Linked DNA regions of Caenorhabditis elegans. The protein of the gene in region 2 interacts with the protein of the main gene of each other region in a pairwise test. Each region holds a gene or a part of one and is shown on either strand. Other genes may lie near its edges.

Region 1 (4,904 bases), on a different chromosome or scaffold from region 2:
CGTGTTACCTCTCTCGGGGCCCCCTCTTCTCCTACTTCTTATTTGCTCAAAATTTGCGCGTCGAAATTTCTTCGTCGTGCGCTGCCCCTTCCGAATAATCAGATTCACCAATGTATAAAATAGGCCACGCCTCACTTTTTCCACACCCATCATCTTCCCTCAACTTTCCTCTTCTCAAATGCCTAATCAGCCAGTTATAACGAGGGTGCTCTTCGTGTGGCGCCCCGCCCATTTTATTGCTCCTCTCACGCTTCATTCTCACTTTTTCTGGGGATCCTTTTTTTTGCAGACCTAAAAATTTGAGCTCAGCCATATTTTTTTTGTAAATATAATCAAAAAAAAATAGACATTAGTCAAAAAAGTTGTTTTAAGCCTAAAAAAATTTTTCAGATAAAAAACGTTTTTCTTTAACTTTTTTGAACAGTTTTTCAGTGAAATATTTTTAAATTTTTATTTTAAAAAAATGTTTGTTTATCTAAGCCTAAGCCTGAGCCTAAGCCTAATAACCCTAAATAGCGTCAGTGTGGGAGCTCACGCTCCCCCACTGACGCCAAGCCTAAGCCTACGCCTAAGCCAAAGCCTAGGCCTAAGCCTGGGCCGAAGCTGAGACCTAAGCTTAAGCCTAAGCCTAAGACTAAGACTGAGTTCAAGCCTAAGCCTAAGACTAAGCCTGAGTCTCAGCCTAAGCCTAAGCCTAAGCCTAAGCCATTTTTAAAAAGCTTAAAAATTTTTGCAATTACTATTTTTTCTGAAAATCTGTAAAAATATCGAATTTTTAGAGTTGCTATAAAATTTAAAATAATATTCAAAAAATAATCCGAAAAAATTAAATTTTTTTTCTCAAAACGTAGATCATACAGAATCAGCTTTAAAAAATTCAAACCATTTTTCGTTTCAAAAATGTTCAGAAAATTTGTAAAACTTGAGTTTTGAAGAAAGTTTTCATAAACTAGCTCTTGAATAGGGTTTTTAAGTAGGCGTTAAAACGCTTGCCTGCCTGACCTTCAGGCGACTTTCGCCTGCCTGCTTGACTTTCAGACGTTCTCTGCCTGCCTGCCTGACTTTAAGGCGACCTCCGCCTGCCTCTCGCCTCAATCCGAGCCTTATCTCTTAAAATGTTTTTCATCAAATTGATAAAAATACGGAAATTACAAAATTTTGTAAGTTCATGCCAAAATGCAGGCATCAGGCCCTGAGGCCACGCCTGCCTAGGCCTCCGACTTTCGTTCTACAATTGTCGTTGCCGTTTCCTTTATCCCATTTTCATACCCCAAAGTTATGATTTTTCTTACACCCCTTGCGCTGCTGCTGCTTCCGCTCCCGTGATCTTATGAATCAGTAGTCAGAACTGCAGGTGTGAATCTCCACAATGATCACCCAATAAACGCGAAACACCATTAGAAACAAAGTGTCCCCCGTTTTTTTTTTCTGAGAGTGTCGGCACCCCCCTAACATATGCGGGGAACATTGTCTCAAGTTTTGTGTGCTCCTCCAGCTCCTCCATATGGTTACCGTAGTCCCCTGTCAGTGTTGTGTAATTGTTGTTGTAACTATCCCCCGAATACCTCTCCTCACATTCATTCACAACACAGGTGTCAACTCAACTCTCAGTGCTCATTTGAAGTTTATGAAGTTTAGCTTCCGGGGATGGCTCTCCTGGGCTCCCCGCTCCCTCGAAAATTTAATTAATTGCAAGCACATGTGGTGGTGGTGGGGCGAGCTCCGCGCTTCCCCCCCCGCCCCGATTCTCTCTCTCTCATTTGCGACTCATTAGATTTTAAATCACTCTCAAACTTTCCACTTTTCCAACTTTCGCGTTTTTTAAATTTTTTTTTCACTTTTTCCTCACAAATTCATCCAAAAAAATTTCCAGAGTTGCCCCGCCCATATATTGGCTAAATGGTAGAATGGACGTGGCACTTTTGACAATGGATGACAACAACAAACCGCCGACAAGTTCAGAGTCTACGGAGAGTAGGGGTGAGTTTGGCCGGGGGACCGATAATTTTTAGGCCAAGACTTCTTTTTTTTTAAATCATTTTCAAAGGTACGTTACCTTCACGTGGTGCCAGGTTGTCCCATTGCTTTTTGATCTACAGAAAATGCGGGATTTTTTCCCCAAAAAATGTGACATAAGCAAGTTTTTAAATCTTTTCTCCCGCATTTTTTTGTAGATCTACGTAGATCATACTCTGACACCACGTGTACCTTGAACCTCCTGGCTTTCTGAAACTAGAGTTCGTCGCTAGAGCGCATTTGCATTGTCGTGGTATTTAATTTACAGTACCGCCAGAATCATGTCGCGCCGCTTGTAGTCTAGTGGTTAACACGCTTCAGCTCTAAACAATAGGTCCGGGGTTCGATTCCTTGCAAGATGAAATTTCTTTCTCAAGATGGAGGTACATATGTGCTTTAAATGTGCACTAGAGATAGCGAAACTGATACCATGGTCCGACATGTACAGGGTTCCGCGCGCGCCTAGGGCCTCCAAAACGCCTGCTGCTCCAGTTTTGCGGCGACCTCCGCCTAACTCGCGGCGCGCCTTCTGTATAGTCACGGCCTTCTGTCTTCCCTCATAAATTGAAATGGAAGAGTTTTTGCCGAACTAGGCCATCTTGGCTCGGTCACATCTGGGCTCGATTTTAGTTGTAAAACTAAATGTATTTGTCCGTGTGGAGTGCACGACTTGCCCACGCGTTGACCGGCGGGCGATTGCCAATGGAGCGCGAAAAATTCAATAAGGAAGGCCAGAACCCCGTGTATAGTGCCGCGCGTGGAGCCCGAAAAGTGTCAGCCGCGGCGGAAGAACCACATTCCATAGGACTAAAAAACTAAAGTTCTCTCTTTCAGAAACATCACCACCAATGATGCCAGATTCTGCGGAGATAATGCGACTTCTTACGGATCCTTCGACGGCTCAGATGTTTGGTAGGTCATAGATCAAATTTTTTCCGCAATTTCCCGAAAAATTTCAGCCAACGAAAACACAAAATGTCAGCTGGGACGGATTCTCGCCGCGTCAGGCTTCGACGAGGCGAGCCTCTCCTCCTCGTTTCCGTTCGATCCGACGCTCGGCGCGTTCGCCGACATTTCCCAATTCTCATCACTCCGAAATTCGTCGAAAACGCTGAAATGTCCAAAGTGTAATTGGCACTACAAGTACCAGGAGACCCTTGAAATTCATATGAAGGAGAAGCACAACGATGTGGATGTCAAGTGCATGTTTTGTGCCGAGAACCGTCCCCACCCGAAGCTGGCTCGCGGTGAGACGTACTCGTGCGGTTATAAGCCATATCGATGCGATTTGTGTCGGTACAGTACGACGACAAAGGGCAATTTGAGTATTCATATGCAAAGTGATAAGCATCTTCATGCAGTGCAAGAGCTCCCGAATAGTATAGGTAGGTGGGGGGGGGAGGCGAAGGGTACTGTAGTTTTCGTGGTGGGACCCAAGAATTTGAATTTCACAAGAATTTAACTGTTGAACTCGAACTTTTCGATTCTAGGGTCTCGCCACGCAAAAACACTTACGCCAACTTTTTTGAACCCTAAAAAATGATACTCAAATTAGAGTTCTCAGTGAGCTAAATTCGATTTTACAGTATTTTTTTAATTTGACGTTCTGTGGGTCTTACACTCAAAGGGTACTGTAGTTTTCGTGGTGGGACCCACTTGTCCAAAAATGGACGTGATTATATTTGGATTAAAGCCCCTAACTTTTCTGATTTTTTTAATAAATTGGTTTTATTTTGAAAAGACTGAGAAAATTGAGTTTAGATCGAAATCAATAAAAATCGCGTCGAGACCCAAATTTCCCGGGTCTCGGCACGAAAATGGGGGAGAGGGTACTGTAGTTTTCTGGCTTCTCTCATAAATTGAAATGGAAGAGTTTTTGCCGAACTAGGCCGGCCATATCTGGGGTAGATTTACGGCGCGTTGCGTGTCGCGGCTCAATTTTTGTTTTAAAACATGAGGAAGACCAGAATCCCGTGTTTTCGTGGTGGGACCCAAATGGGTCATGATTATACTTATTTGAAAGGCCTTAAGCTGAATTCAGATTTAAGATTTTTATTATTTTAATTCAAAAATATCCTGAATTTTCCAGAATTCGCAGCCAACTTCGCGTGTGGTGCTCCAGTTAGCCGAAGTAGTCCAATCGAAGAGTCCGACGGATCCCTGGTCTGCTTGATCTGCGGTATCTTCGCCACCGAATCTATCGCCGAAATGATGGAACACGTGGAACAAGACCGTTCCAGGACGTTCCAAGGAGACGTTACCGTCCTAAACGGGAGCTTCCGGTGCCACTTGTGCCCGTATAATACCACATTGAAAGCCAATTTTCAACTACACACAAGGACGGATAAGCATCTGCAAAAGGTTCAAATTGTGAGTTTTGTATTCCCCTCTCATCATCTTCTTATTTTTATTGTGTCGCCCTTTTCCCATTTTTGTGTGTCTGTGTGTGTATGCGCACCGATTTGCATATACACATAAATTCATGATTTAATAGCGTAATGAGTAATATTTGCTTTGCCAAGGCTAACAGTTTTCGTATTTTAAAGCCTTTTTTCTACAATTTTTGAAAAAAAAATTCAAAAATTTGAACATTTCAATATATCCCTAGAAAGCTCAAAATTGTAGTGAAAATTTTGAATTCAGTACGCTGAGACCTTTAAAATAAGTATAATCATTACTAGGTTTTGGTTCTGACGCGAAAGTGTTCGTGGCGGAGCCCAAGCAAGGCGTAATTGATTATAGGGTCTTTGCACGCAAAAAATTTAAGGTCCGGTAGGCGTGGCGGGGAGTTTTTCTTGAATTATTTTAGTTTTTCATAAATTTTCAATTTTTTGGAATTTATTTTTCTCTCCCTTCCCCCGCGTAGTCTGAGCCTAAACCTAAGCCTG
Region 2 (3,189 bases):
CTCGACACGACCAGTTTTTGTAAATGCGGTGTGCGCCTTTGAAGAGTACTGTATTTTCAAAAACTCTGGTTTTTTTATCGATATTTCATACCTTACGCAGCAACCCGAGTTTAAAGTTACAGTACTCATTAAAGGCACACACTTGCATTCAACAAAAATGTGTCGTGTCAGGACCGGGAACCACAATTTCAAAAGTTCAAATTTTAAAAAATTTCAGCACAATTTCCCAGCCAGAATTCACCAGCTTAACCTCCTCTCTGCCCAAAGATGATTTTTATACGAACATCGTATTCCAGTGCTATAATCAATCATTTTATCACATTCGAGACGCCGGCCTTCTTTCTGCAGAATCCACGTGTGTAAATGCTTTTGATTGTGAGCTTTCACAACGAGAAGCGATGCCGTGTACCCATTCAGATGCCACGTATCACTCCGGGCCGCCCATGTTTCCAATCACATTCCATTGGGCGAGTGATGCATTCTTTAGTGATGAGATTGGATGCTATCAGTAATTGGATCTTTTTTTTAATCAAAATAATGTATTAAAGCTTATCGAAAATTGAAAATGTAAATTAACATAACATGAAAATCAAAAAGTGAGCAGTGAGGTAGAACTATAAACATAATGAAGACACTCGAACATCAACGATTACTCAATTTCCGGCTTGATGCGCTTTTCTGGGATCATGGCTGGCTCGGCTGGCTGGATCTGAAAAATTATTTTTTGAAAATTTATCTTTAAAAAAAATGTTTTAATTAGCTACCTGCTGAGCTTTCTTGTAGCTCTGAAGCGCCGTCGCAAGAGCATTCGCACTTTCGATGATTATGACCCATGTGTCGACTTCAGTGATCTGCTGATCGGTGAAAAAATTTCTCTGTAGAATTGTGTCGACTGCATTGTTGAAGAATCTTTTGTACTCGAGAGCTTCTTCATTGGGCTCTGGCTCTGGCTCTGGCTCCAGCTTCAGCTCCAGCTCCGGTTGGGGCGATCCTGAAGCGTCGCGGGAAGATGAGGACGTTGTTGAATTGGAAGTCGACGGCGACAGAGACTTGTTCAAAAGACGATTAAGCTTGAAGCCGGCTCTTTGAATTGGCGATTTCAGCAGTGATCCCGGTGAATTGCCGGATTTCGCAATCGGGTTGGCGTCTCCTGGAGCTCCGGTTTCCTGTATGGCCTTTGCGTGTTCGGTGAGGGCTTTTTTGTTGGAAAACGTCCAGTTACAGCATCCGCAGGTGTATACTTGACCCAAGTAGTGCTCATTTCTCATGTGATCACGGACGGTCTCCTTCAGGTAGAGCTTACGGGCGCACAGCATGCAGGTGTACTCGTCGCTATGCACCAGTTTACGATGGCGGTTGAGAGAAGCGCCGTGCTTGAAGTTTTGGCCGCAGGACAAGCAGAGGAAATCGCCTGAAAAATGGAAAAATTAATGTTTTTTTTTAATTACAAAAAAAAATAAAATAAAACTCACCTCTGAGATCCGGCCGCTTAAGCTCGCTTTCTTCTTTGCGAAGCAGTGACGATTTTTCAGCGAATTCCGTTTCGAAGCGGTCGATAAGGGGCTTGTGATCGGAAGTATCCATGAAGCTGATTTTCTGAAAGAAGAGGACATTTTGAAGAAAAATTTTAGAATTTTACATCAATTTACACTCAAAATAATAAAACTGCGTTGCGTGTACGCCAAAATAGGCCCCGCCTTTTTCTCGTTCACTCACGGGGAAAAGGCAAAAAGCGGCTGGTGTAGCCAATATCAGCAGCCGACATCATTCGAGGTCCGCGCACCACACTATTTTTCTCACTGTTGGCGTGGCGAGCTGTCCCCCCCCTCCCATATTTTTGCCTTTTTCCCGTGAGTGGACGATTAAAAGGCGGGGCCTATTTGGTCGTACACGCAACGCAGTTTTATTATTTTGAGTGTAGAAGAAAAAAGAATTTTTTTACTGACCTACAAAATTTTTGCAAGGATAGTAGACTAAAAAAGCTTCTCACTAATCACATTAATCATATAATTAATAAATAATATTTTTAAACGAAAAAAATCTGTAAAATTAATTAATTCAGGGTCGACGTCGTTTAAAAGTGTTACTTCTTTGTTTCTACGCTTGTAAAGTAGGTTTTCAATCGATTATTTGAATTTATCTTAATTTTTTCTTTATATTTCAAAAAAAAAATACACTGAAAACATGAAAAATCGGTGAAAAATGAGTGAAAATAACAATAAATATTTAATTTTAAATAAAAATAAAAACGTGCAAGCGCGCTCCATCGAACGAATTCTCTTGGCGGTAATTCAAATTGCAGTTCGGGCAAAACTGAGATTTTTCCAATTTTCAAAAAGTCATATAAAATTTAGAAAAAAAAATTGAATTTTTTTACTATGATATTTGGCCATTGTGACACTATAGGCATGTTTTAAAGCAATTTTCCCACTGGCGCTACTTTGTGATTTGATTTATTTCGACATGAAAAAAAAGGAATACAAAACCGGTACAGTAAGTTACTGCAATTTCTTCATTTCAAGACCCATAAATATGCTCAGCCATATTAGCAACTTTATGCACCAGAAGCTTCTCCAGCTCCCTATCCAGCTCGGTTATAGTGAAGTTGTCGCCGTAAATCCAACCATTTCCGATACTATTTCTGACGGAGGTCATTCGGTAGTGTCTGAAAATGTCAGTGTCGATTTACGCGGCTCGTGTACTCCTCGAGGACAAGTGTGCGTTTTTTGGCAAAAATTTCCTGATTTTTGGCCATTTTCGGTAATTTTTTCTACAGAATTTCCGCCTAAAACACTAAAAAATTAGAAAATTCAGTCTAAAATGCTCACTATTTTCAAAAATAATACACAAAAATCGGCAAGAATTTCAGTAAAAATTCAAAAATCTCTGCAAAAAACAAATGCACACTTCTCCTCGAGAAGTACACGAGCTGCTGCTTGAATTTACATATGACCGTGTTATTATACACACGCGAAACTTTGTGATTTTTGAGCTAAAAATACGATATCTGGTCTCGACACGATAATTTGTATTTTCGAAGAGGTGTGCGCCTTTAAGGAGTACTGTACGTTGGTGGGCTCTTCATAGTTCTTCGATAAAAAATATTATTCTGCAGAAAACAATCGAAAGAAAATTCCACTGCAACAAAAGTTTGCAATTACAGTACCCATTAAAGGCACACACCTTTTA
Region 3 (4,589 bases), on a different chromosome or scaffold from region 2:
GTCAACTGATTTCGAATGGTTAAGAACGTGCTGACGTCACATTTTTTGACCAAAAAATTCCCGCATTTTTGTAGATCAAACCGATTTATTAATATTACTGTCTTGTATAAATGTAAGGGGGAAAAGGCAACATATGGTTAAGCCGTCGGCAACGACGCAAACAAATGGTCAGTTGAGAAAGTGTTTGAACACGAGAGATTACGCCTTCTGGAGACGCAGACGCGCAAGCGCACATTGCCACAGGGTCAATAAATGTTTTCACGTGAGGAACGGGGGTAAAGAAATTCCTAATTTTCAGTTTTGGAATATGTATCATTAAAAATTATTTTCATGTTGCTAGTACGTCTTATAGAGAAGCTTCGAATTCATTTTATACATTTGAATAATAATGAATTTTTCAAAGTTTTACACATCAAAATGATCAAAATGATGTGTAAAACCTATAAAATTCAATATTATTCAAATGTATAAAGTGAATTCGAAGCTACTCTATAAGACGTACTAGCAATATGAAAATCATTTTTAATGATGCATTTCCTAGTACTAAGGAACATCGTATGAGGATTTAAATAAATAAAAAGTTTCATTGAAATTAAGTGAAAACATCATAGAGATCATGGAAAATAAGTGAGACCTTGGTAATCAGATTGTTTTAAATATCAGAATATGAAAATATGAATTTATGCTTTCAATTCCTCTGGCTTTGATTCAGTTGGCGTCTCTGTCAAGCGTCGAAGTTCAGATGCGACTCCATTTCCGATTGCAGTCAATTGGGGGAGCCAAACCCGTTGAGACACGATTCCAAGTCCATGTGAAGCTGATGAAAAGGTCTCCATTCCATTGTTCAGTCGCATGTTGTTCGACGGTTTTGGCTCGATTCCAGTGATCGGAGGGACGACTGATGTGAAAACTGATTCAAGTGCTGACATACATTCTCTGAAATATTTGGAATTTGGCGTCAGAATTGAGAAATTGGAATATAGTCAACTTACGTGAAATCCTTATCATTCATCAACGCATCCAGATCTGCATCCTCGTCAGCCAATGCTTCATGAGCAACTTCTTGAATTATATCTTGAACTGGATAATCATCTCGTACAGCTGTTCCAAGATCAAGTCCCAAATGAACAGCTTCCGCTTCGACCAAAGCGATCACTTTGTTGGGAAAAGCCTTCTGTTTCGCATTCAGTTGAACCTTGATTCCATGATCTCTCAGTTGAGCGCGCATCAGTTCACCTCCATTCTTCAGTTTTGGCCTTTTAAGATTGCATGCGATACTCGAACTATTGAGCTTCTCCGGACTTTGCAATCTTCGTCTCATTTCCTCGACTGTGACCTGGAAGATTATTTAAATTTTAATATTGAACTTCTACCGTAAACGTACAAAATAACATGTCTGATTCTGTCCCATAGATAGTCTTCCATGAACCACATCAAATGCCTGATCTTTCGGACTTTCCAGTTCAAATCCACTCGGAACTGCATTCTCAATAACCGGAGTCAAATTAATGTTTTTTCGAACATTATTGCTCATTTTCGGAGGCGGCTTGAAAGTGCTCGGGTCCTGTTCAGTGACCGGATTCGGGTTGAGAAGACCCGCCAGCTTAATCGCAAATTGTGCCTCCTCGGAGAGCATCGGTGCGTATTCGAAAGGTCCACGTGGTGGTTGCAACTTTGCATCATCAGACGTGATTTTTCCTTTTAAAAGTTGTGCCAAAAGGGAGTTGTCTTCTTGCTCGGCAACGGCGGGTTGGGTAGAGCACTCTGCAGAGCTTGAAGGGCCAGTCTCTTTTGTGGCGGGTACTGTAGGTACTGTAGGTTCCACAGGTCCCACCACGGGTTCCGTTGGAACAGTAGAGTTGAGCGTGGTGAACATCTGAAAAAGTAATAAATGAATAAATTAAAATACGCGAATGGATTCAAAAGCAGACAATATAAATTTACAGAGTTTAACAAAAAAGTTGATTGTGACGAATTTTCGCTTCTTCATAATATCCTTTTTTGAATAATTTGAATTTCCGCACTTTAGCCACTTAACCACGCCCATTTTTCTGTGCCGCACTTTGGTTTTTTTTATCAATTTCGGCAGAAAGTTGAAAAATTCGTCAGAAATTAACTGTATTTCTAAAACTTAATTTTGTGGGATTTCAGCATTTGGATCCATTTGAATATTTTAAAGATGGGGTACCGAAATCTGAACCCTTGCTTTTTTAGACCCAAAATGACTCAAAACTACCGAATTGTGTAATGAGACGTTTTGGAAATTTCTCAAAAAAAAAAGTTATGGTGGCTCAAAGTTCTGGAAAGAAGGCTAATTTTCAGCTAAAATCAACATTTTTGTCTAATTCTCGGTGTCGCAGCGTCTGGAACTTAATTTTGATTCAATTATCACTTTTTAAAGAATATTTTTGTTTTTTATTAGGCGTTTATTCGTTGATTTAAGTACATTTATTGTCAGTGGGGCACAAAAATGTAACTTTTATTTGTGTCCCACTTACCGAAAATATGTTTAAATCAACGAATAAACGCTTAATAGAAGACCGCAATAGTCTTTAAATAGTGATAATTACATAAAAATGATGTTCCAGACGCTGTGACACCGAGAAGTTGACCAAAATTTTGATTTTAGCTGAAAATGTGCCATTTTTCCAGAACCTTCAACTGCCATAACTTTTTTTTGAGAAATTTTCAAAACGTCCCATTACCAATTCGGTATTTTTGGGCTATTTTGGGTGTAAAAAACAAAGTCTCAGATTTCGGTACTCCAGCTTGAAAGTAAAATTGTTATTGCCAGACCTCCAAATTATGGAAAAAAAGCAAAAAAAAAGCTGAAAAAAAGGGAAGAAAGAAATGACATTAATAAGGTAGATCGAATGCCTTCTACAATATTTGACCTCATTGGTTGTAAATCGTTTATGGTGTGGAGATCAAATCTGTGCGCGCTCACCTGTATATCCATTCTTTTATTATTGATCTACTCTTCCAGTGTTGCAAAAACATCTGTTTTCTAGGTGACATCTCCAGAAGAATGTGCCAAGTAATGGAATGGAAGAGAGAGAAAATGTAGAGAGAGGGAGAGGGATGAGACGACGAGAGGAAGTGACGACACTCCGCTTTCCTCCGCTTTTGGATTTATTGGAATTTCAGAATTGTTCGTTTTATAAGTTTAATTAAATATTAAATTTTAATTTTAATTTAAAATATTTTTATTTTTAAAAATATAATAAAAACACATTCAAAACATTCTATACATTTTTTCAAAAAACCAATCAAAGGAGGAGTTTTATTGCTTTATTATACTCAAAAAGGCCCGAATACCCCGAATTTTATAACGAGAAAAAAATTAATTTCGAAGAAAAAATAGAATTTTCCCAATTTTTCGTTACACAACGGTTAGAAATTGATTTTTATTTGATTTTTCTTCTATTTTGAATATTTTTATTGGTTTTCTTGCGTTGTTTCGTTAATTTATCATCTAAAATTTTAATTTTTAAATCCAAACTATTAAATCAACAAAAAAACAGAAGATAAATAGGAAAATGAGCAAAATAGGGCAATAGTCAGATAAAAATCAATTTCCGATCGCTGTGAAACGGAAAAGTTGGTGAAATTGGAGATTTTAGCGGAAATAAACCTTTTAAAAGCATTTTTGAACAGTCTTGTTATGAAATTCGATATTTTGGGACCATTTTTAGTTTAATAAAGCAAAATAATTTTTGATTAGCTACTCTTTTAAAATTAAACTTGTTAAAATTGTTTAAATACATATTTTTAAAAATAATCTGGAATTTTTCAGAGACAATGGATGATTCTCTTGGAGTATCAGAAGTTGTAATGATTCCATTCATGAAACGAGAAGTTCTCCAGCAAATATGTGCGATTTTAGATACGGATAACACTTGGGAGACGATTGGTTCGGACTTTTTTATAACAAATCATTGAAATTTCGCGGTTTTTGCTCCAAAAATAGGGTCTCGAAACGACAAATTTTTGTTATATGCGAAACGGTGTGCGCCTTTAATTCTTAAAGCACTTTAAAGAATAGTTATTTCAAACATTCGAATCTGCGGATTTTTCATCGAATTTTTTTATAGTTTTCCTTTAAAGGTGGTGTAGTCGAATTTTTGTTATTGCTTTATTAGACTCAAAATTGTCTGAAAACACCGAATTTCTTAATAAAACTTCTAAAAAAAGTTATGACAGCTTAAAAAATGGCCTAAAATAAGTTAAAATTTGAAATTTGACCGACTTGTAAAGCGGCTGGAAACGAACTTTTTTGAAATCACCGTCTAATTGTAGGTATACCAGTTAATTATCTTGCGTTTTCAACTTGATTTAAGTATTTTAAAGTCTATGGACGACGAGATTTTTAACAATTTTTTTAAACCAAATCTCGCCGTCCATCGACTTTAAAATACCTAATTGTAAAGTAGTAGTCGAAAACGCAAGTTAATTGACATGTATACTCAAAATTTGACGGTGATTTCAAAAAAATTGTTTCCAGCCGCTTTACAAGTCGGTCAAATTTCAAATTTTAACAAATTTTAGGTCATTTTTTGAGCTGTCATAACTATTTTTTGAGAAGTTTT
Region 4 (3,594 bases), on a different chromosome or scaffold from region 2:
ATTGCCCCGAAAATATGGTACCCGGTCTCGACACGAAAATTTTTCGTTAAACGATGTGCACCTTCAAATAGTACTGTAGTTTCAAAATTTTGTTTTTGGGAAGTTACCATCGATTTTTCAGATCGAGTTTAATTTTTCTCATTTTTAAAAAATGTTATGTGATTGTTCTCGTGTGTAAAAATATATATTTCAATCGAAGACCTATAAAACATCAATGAAAACCATGTTATGCCTGAATCTGGTGAAATGTGTAGTGAGAAGAATAAGGGGGTTATCGCAAGATCCTAAACATAAAAAAATATATGCTGAAAATGTAAAGACCGATTTGAAAATAAAAACAAAAAAAAAGAAGTAGATGTCACTTCAAGACCATTTATTGACTCTACTACTCTTCCTTTTCTCTCCATGAAAAAAATGGAAATGTCGTTTCGAATCAAAAAGTGAGAAGTGAATGAAGTGTGTAGATGACTCACTGGCGGTATACGGAAAGAAAAGAGAGGAAAGGTGATACAAACTGATAAGAAAACTGTGTGTGGGGAAATAATGTGGAAGAGAAAGAGATATAGAGATAAAAACGGGAAGAACTGAGGAAATATAGATCTATTGCATATGTATTTGCATAAGGGGGTTAGGCAGTGCTAATAGTTTTTACAAGAATGATGAAACATGAGCATACCAGAAATATTATTGGAATGAGCAAACTCGCACGGAAACTTTCTCTAGTTTATTTTTGAACCCTCTATTGGTTTATATAGGATTACAAGAAGACAATCAACATCAAACAAGTGTTGCAACGTGCCAGAATACGGTCCCCGGTCTCAATTTTTCCTTTTTCTGGCATTCTTATTAATACTTGTGAAAAAAGATTATTTAATAAACAGCAAAATGTGCAAGGAAACGAGATAAAGTGGAAACTACAGTACTCCTCAAAGGCACACATTTTTATGTGCGACATTTTTTAAAAACTGTTTTAGGTGTGCCGAGATCGGGAACCGTAATCATAAATTGCAAACATTTATATGCGGTCTTATTAAATACTACAAAATCGCAACAAACAAATGAACAGCTTCCCTTGGGTGTCTTCTGTTTTTGTTTGACATTCTTGGGAAATAGTAGTTAAAGTTTGTTGCAAATGTCAAAGGAGATATTGAGTAATGAATGATGCGCGTAAATCGACCTACTTATTGGATAGATTAGAGATTCATATCTAACTTTGTAATTCTATGTGCATTAAAGGTGTATAAAATATATATGAGTGTATATTGTGTTATGAAATATTGTGAATGAACGGGTGTATGTCAATGACAGCTGCTCTTTTCCTTGCTCTTTGTTCAGGTTTTGAGTGCACCTCTGCAGACCTCTGCCAATTATTTTGGCAAAAGAAAACGGGAATTTCTAGGCCACGCACTTTACTCGATTCTGAACGGAATAACAAACCAATTTTCAAAAAGAAATTGTATTAAAACAAATAAACATATCATTGTGCATTGTATTTATTGAAACTAATTACAATTTATGATCCAATATTATGCAAATCGATCAGTTTTTGATAGGTACCCAATTCGTGGCCGAGTCTCTCGGAAAGCTAGGCCAAATGCCGTTTTTGGCGGCAGTCGACGCGTTTTGAAAAAGAAAGAATGAGGACACGCAAACGTTTTTCTTGTCAAATATTCCCGTGACCTTTTGACAACTCATAATCATGGAGACGTGTAAGATTGATGATATGGACGGTGACGGTGAATCATTATTCAGTGTTAAATGGAAGGCCTTCCGGAAGAATCCGCGATTCTCGAGGTAATTATTAATATTTATTCAAAGCTTTTATATTTTTACTTTTAAGTATCATAATCAAAACGTTTCAGGTGAATGCCAATACAACTTCCCCCGATGTAAAAGTTAAATGTAAACAATGTGATCGATTTTTCACGTCTGAAAGATCCCTTCGTTGTCATATCAAAGTGCACAGTTAGTTTCAGGCGATTAGATTTATGAAACCAATATTTATTTTTAGATGACAAATTGTTGGAGTGCTATTTCTGCGACAAAATGTTCAATCGAACGGATACTCTGTTTTTCCACGCACTCGACCACATCAGCAAAGGGTAATTGCAAGAAATATTTTGAAATTTTTGAAAAACTGTTTCGTTCAGAACTCTACCTTGTCGTGCCGAAGGATGTGATCAACTCGTTGAGACCATGTTAGAGGGCGAGAATCATGCGAATACAGCTCATCATGTGAATGGTACAGTATCGATAAAGTGCAAGGTAAGTAAAATATCGATAGATTGAAACAGAACTAATCAAAACATTTCAGGATTGCTCCGAAGTTTCAGTATCCTTCCGTAAAATGCTATTCCATCACACATTCAAGCATGGAGAACTTAAAGAATATGCGGAGGAAATGATTATCAAGCAGAAAGATTTCCTTCGAATGAAAAAGAATCAAAGCCGGAAGGAAAGAAAAACTTCAGTTGGAGCAAAGGAAGAATCAAAGCAATTCGATGTTCAAGATGCTTTAGAAATCGAAGTCAAGGAAGAAATCTATGAAGCAGACGAAGATGATGGGATTTTAAAGCAATTGCAGGTTGGATTTATAGCATGATAGAGGTTGAAACTTGAATTTTCAGATGGCTATGTCTGTATCATCAGCTTCCAATTCGGAGATGATCGCGAAACTATCGGATGTGATTGCAGAATTATTCCCATTGAATGATAACGAGAAATACCAATGCACTCATTGCTTGATGGTATGGTTTTTGCTCTGGAAAATCTTAAAAACGTAATTTTTCACAGAGTTTCACCGACGCAATCCTCTGGATGACGCACATTGGATATCACGAAATTGACGATCCGTTCAAATGTTCTGGATGCGGCCGAAAGTTTGAGAATCGGTAGGCTATTTCGAAGATTTTGCTCTGAAGATCAGTAATAATTACAGACAAGCGTTCGCTCTTCATCTAAACTACTTCGCACATACAATTGGTTTTGGAGGAGAAAACGAAAGCGATGAATAGTTCTATTTCATGTTCCTTTATTTTATTTAACAAATAAATATGCATAATACTTGTATTTCTGCTCAAATTTATTCCTGCGTGAAGTTCCATAACTTTTAAAATACTTCTTGTTTAATTTCGTTTCATAGTTTCTTGTTAAGTGTATTTGTAAGTTTTCCGCGTTTTAGATAAAATCAATATCATGTCGCAAAGAAAAGAAGTCTTGAATCAAATGCTGGACACAACTCTGGAAATATTCACAAAATCATTGTTAGAGTCCCAGGATTTGTGGAAAATGGTAAGCTTGATATTTTTGCACGTTTTATCCAGAACTAAAATTTTCAGAGTTCTCATAGAAAACTCAACATGGATAAAGCTGCAGTGGATGCTGTGATGGCTCGAATGGCGAAATCAACACAACAAAAAGTTTTGGAGAAGACTGATCAAATGATTAAAGAAAATAGTGTTTACGAACTTTTCGATGATATGGAACAATTGACGAGAGAATCTGAAGAATTAAATAAGCAACTCGGAAGAGAAATGGGATATAATCCAGTCAATGTTTGTATATTGATTTTAATATTAATATACACATTTTCAT

What was found.
Region 1: the proteins of ztf-28 (region 2) and zfh-2 interact in a two-hybrid assay, tested with the Caenorhabditis elegans proteins (one large-scale study listed by BioGRID).
Region 3: the proteins of ztf-28 (region 2) and aptf-2 interact in a two-hybrid assay, tested with the Caenorhabditis elegans proteins (one large-scale study listed by BioGRID).
Region 4: the proteins of ztf-28 (region 2) and F26F4.8 interact in a two-hybrid assay, tested with the Caenorhabditis elegans proteins (one large-scale study listed by BioGRID).

What each region holds. Positions count from the first base shown.
Region 1 is NC_003279.8:801,495-806,398, forward strand, and holds the start of zfh-2 (Zinc Finger and Homeobox), read left to right. Parts: upstream 1-1,873; 5' UTR 1,874-1,907; coding exon 1,908-1,980; intron 1,981-2,305; exon of another isoform or gene 2,306-2,378; intron 2,379-2,850; coding exon 2,851-2,928; intron 2,929-2,975; coding exon 2,976-3,401; intron 3,402-4,105; coding exon 4,106-4,386; intron 4,387-4,904.
Region 2 is NC_003283.11:2,089,076-2,092,264, reverse strand, and holds ztf-28 (C2H2-type domain-containing protein), read right to left. Parts: upstream 1,597-3,189; 5' UTR 1,585-1,596; coding exon 1,473-1,584; intron 1,412-1,472; coding exon 765-1,411; intron 710-764; coding exon 650-709; 3' UTR 525-649; downstream 1-524. Other genes in the region: gtnt-26 (Glycosyltransferase family 92 protein), read left to right, coding at 218-512; gtnt-27 (Glycosyltransferase family 92 protein), read right to left, coding at 2,518-2,665.
Region 3 is NC_003282.8:13,412,996-13,417,584, forward strand, and holds aptf-2 (Transcription factor aptf-2), read right to left. Parts: upstream 3,057-4,589; 5' UTR 2,960-3,056; coding exon 2,948-2,959; intron 1,877-2,947; coding exon 1,385-1,876; intron 1,337-1,384; coding exon 993-1,336; intron 937-992; coding exon 681-936; 3' UTR 565-680; downstream 1-564. Other genes in the region: Pelle-like serine/threonine-protein kinase pik-1, read left to right, coding at 3,802-3,913. UniProt on the Caenorhabditis elegans protein: Sequence-specific DNA-binding protein that interacts with enhancer elements to regulate transcription of selected genes. Required for neuroblast and epidermal morphogenesis, perhaps acting in cooperation with transcription factor aptf-4.
Region 4 is NC_003281.10:4,903,472-4,907,065, reverse strand, and holds F26F4.8 (C2H2-type domain-containing protein), read left to right. Parts: upstream 1-1,592; 5' UTR 1,593-1,758; coding exon 1,759-1,794; intron 1,795-1,862; coding exon 1,863-1,965; intron 1,966-2,011; coding exon 2,012-2,102; intron 2,103-2,150; coding exon 2,151-2,265; intron 2,266-2,314; coding exon 2,315-2,584; intron 2,585-2,627; coding exon 2,628-2,747; intron 2,748-2,793; coding exon 2,794-2,891; intron 2,892-2,938; coding exon 2,939-3,014; 3' UTR 3,015-3,069; downstream 3,070-3,594. Other genes in the region: kbp-2 (Mediator of RNA polymerase II transcription subunit 21), read left to right, coding at 3,196-3,291, 3,339-3,554.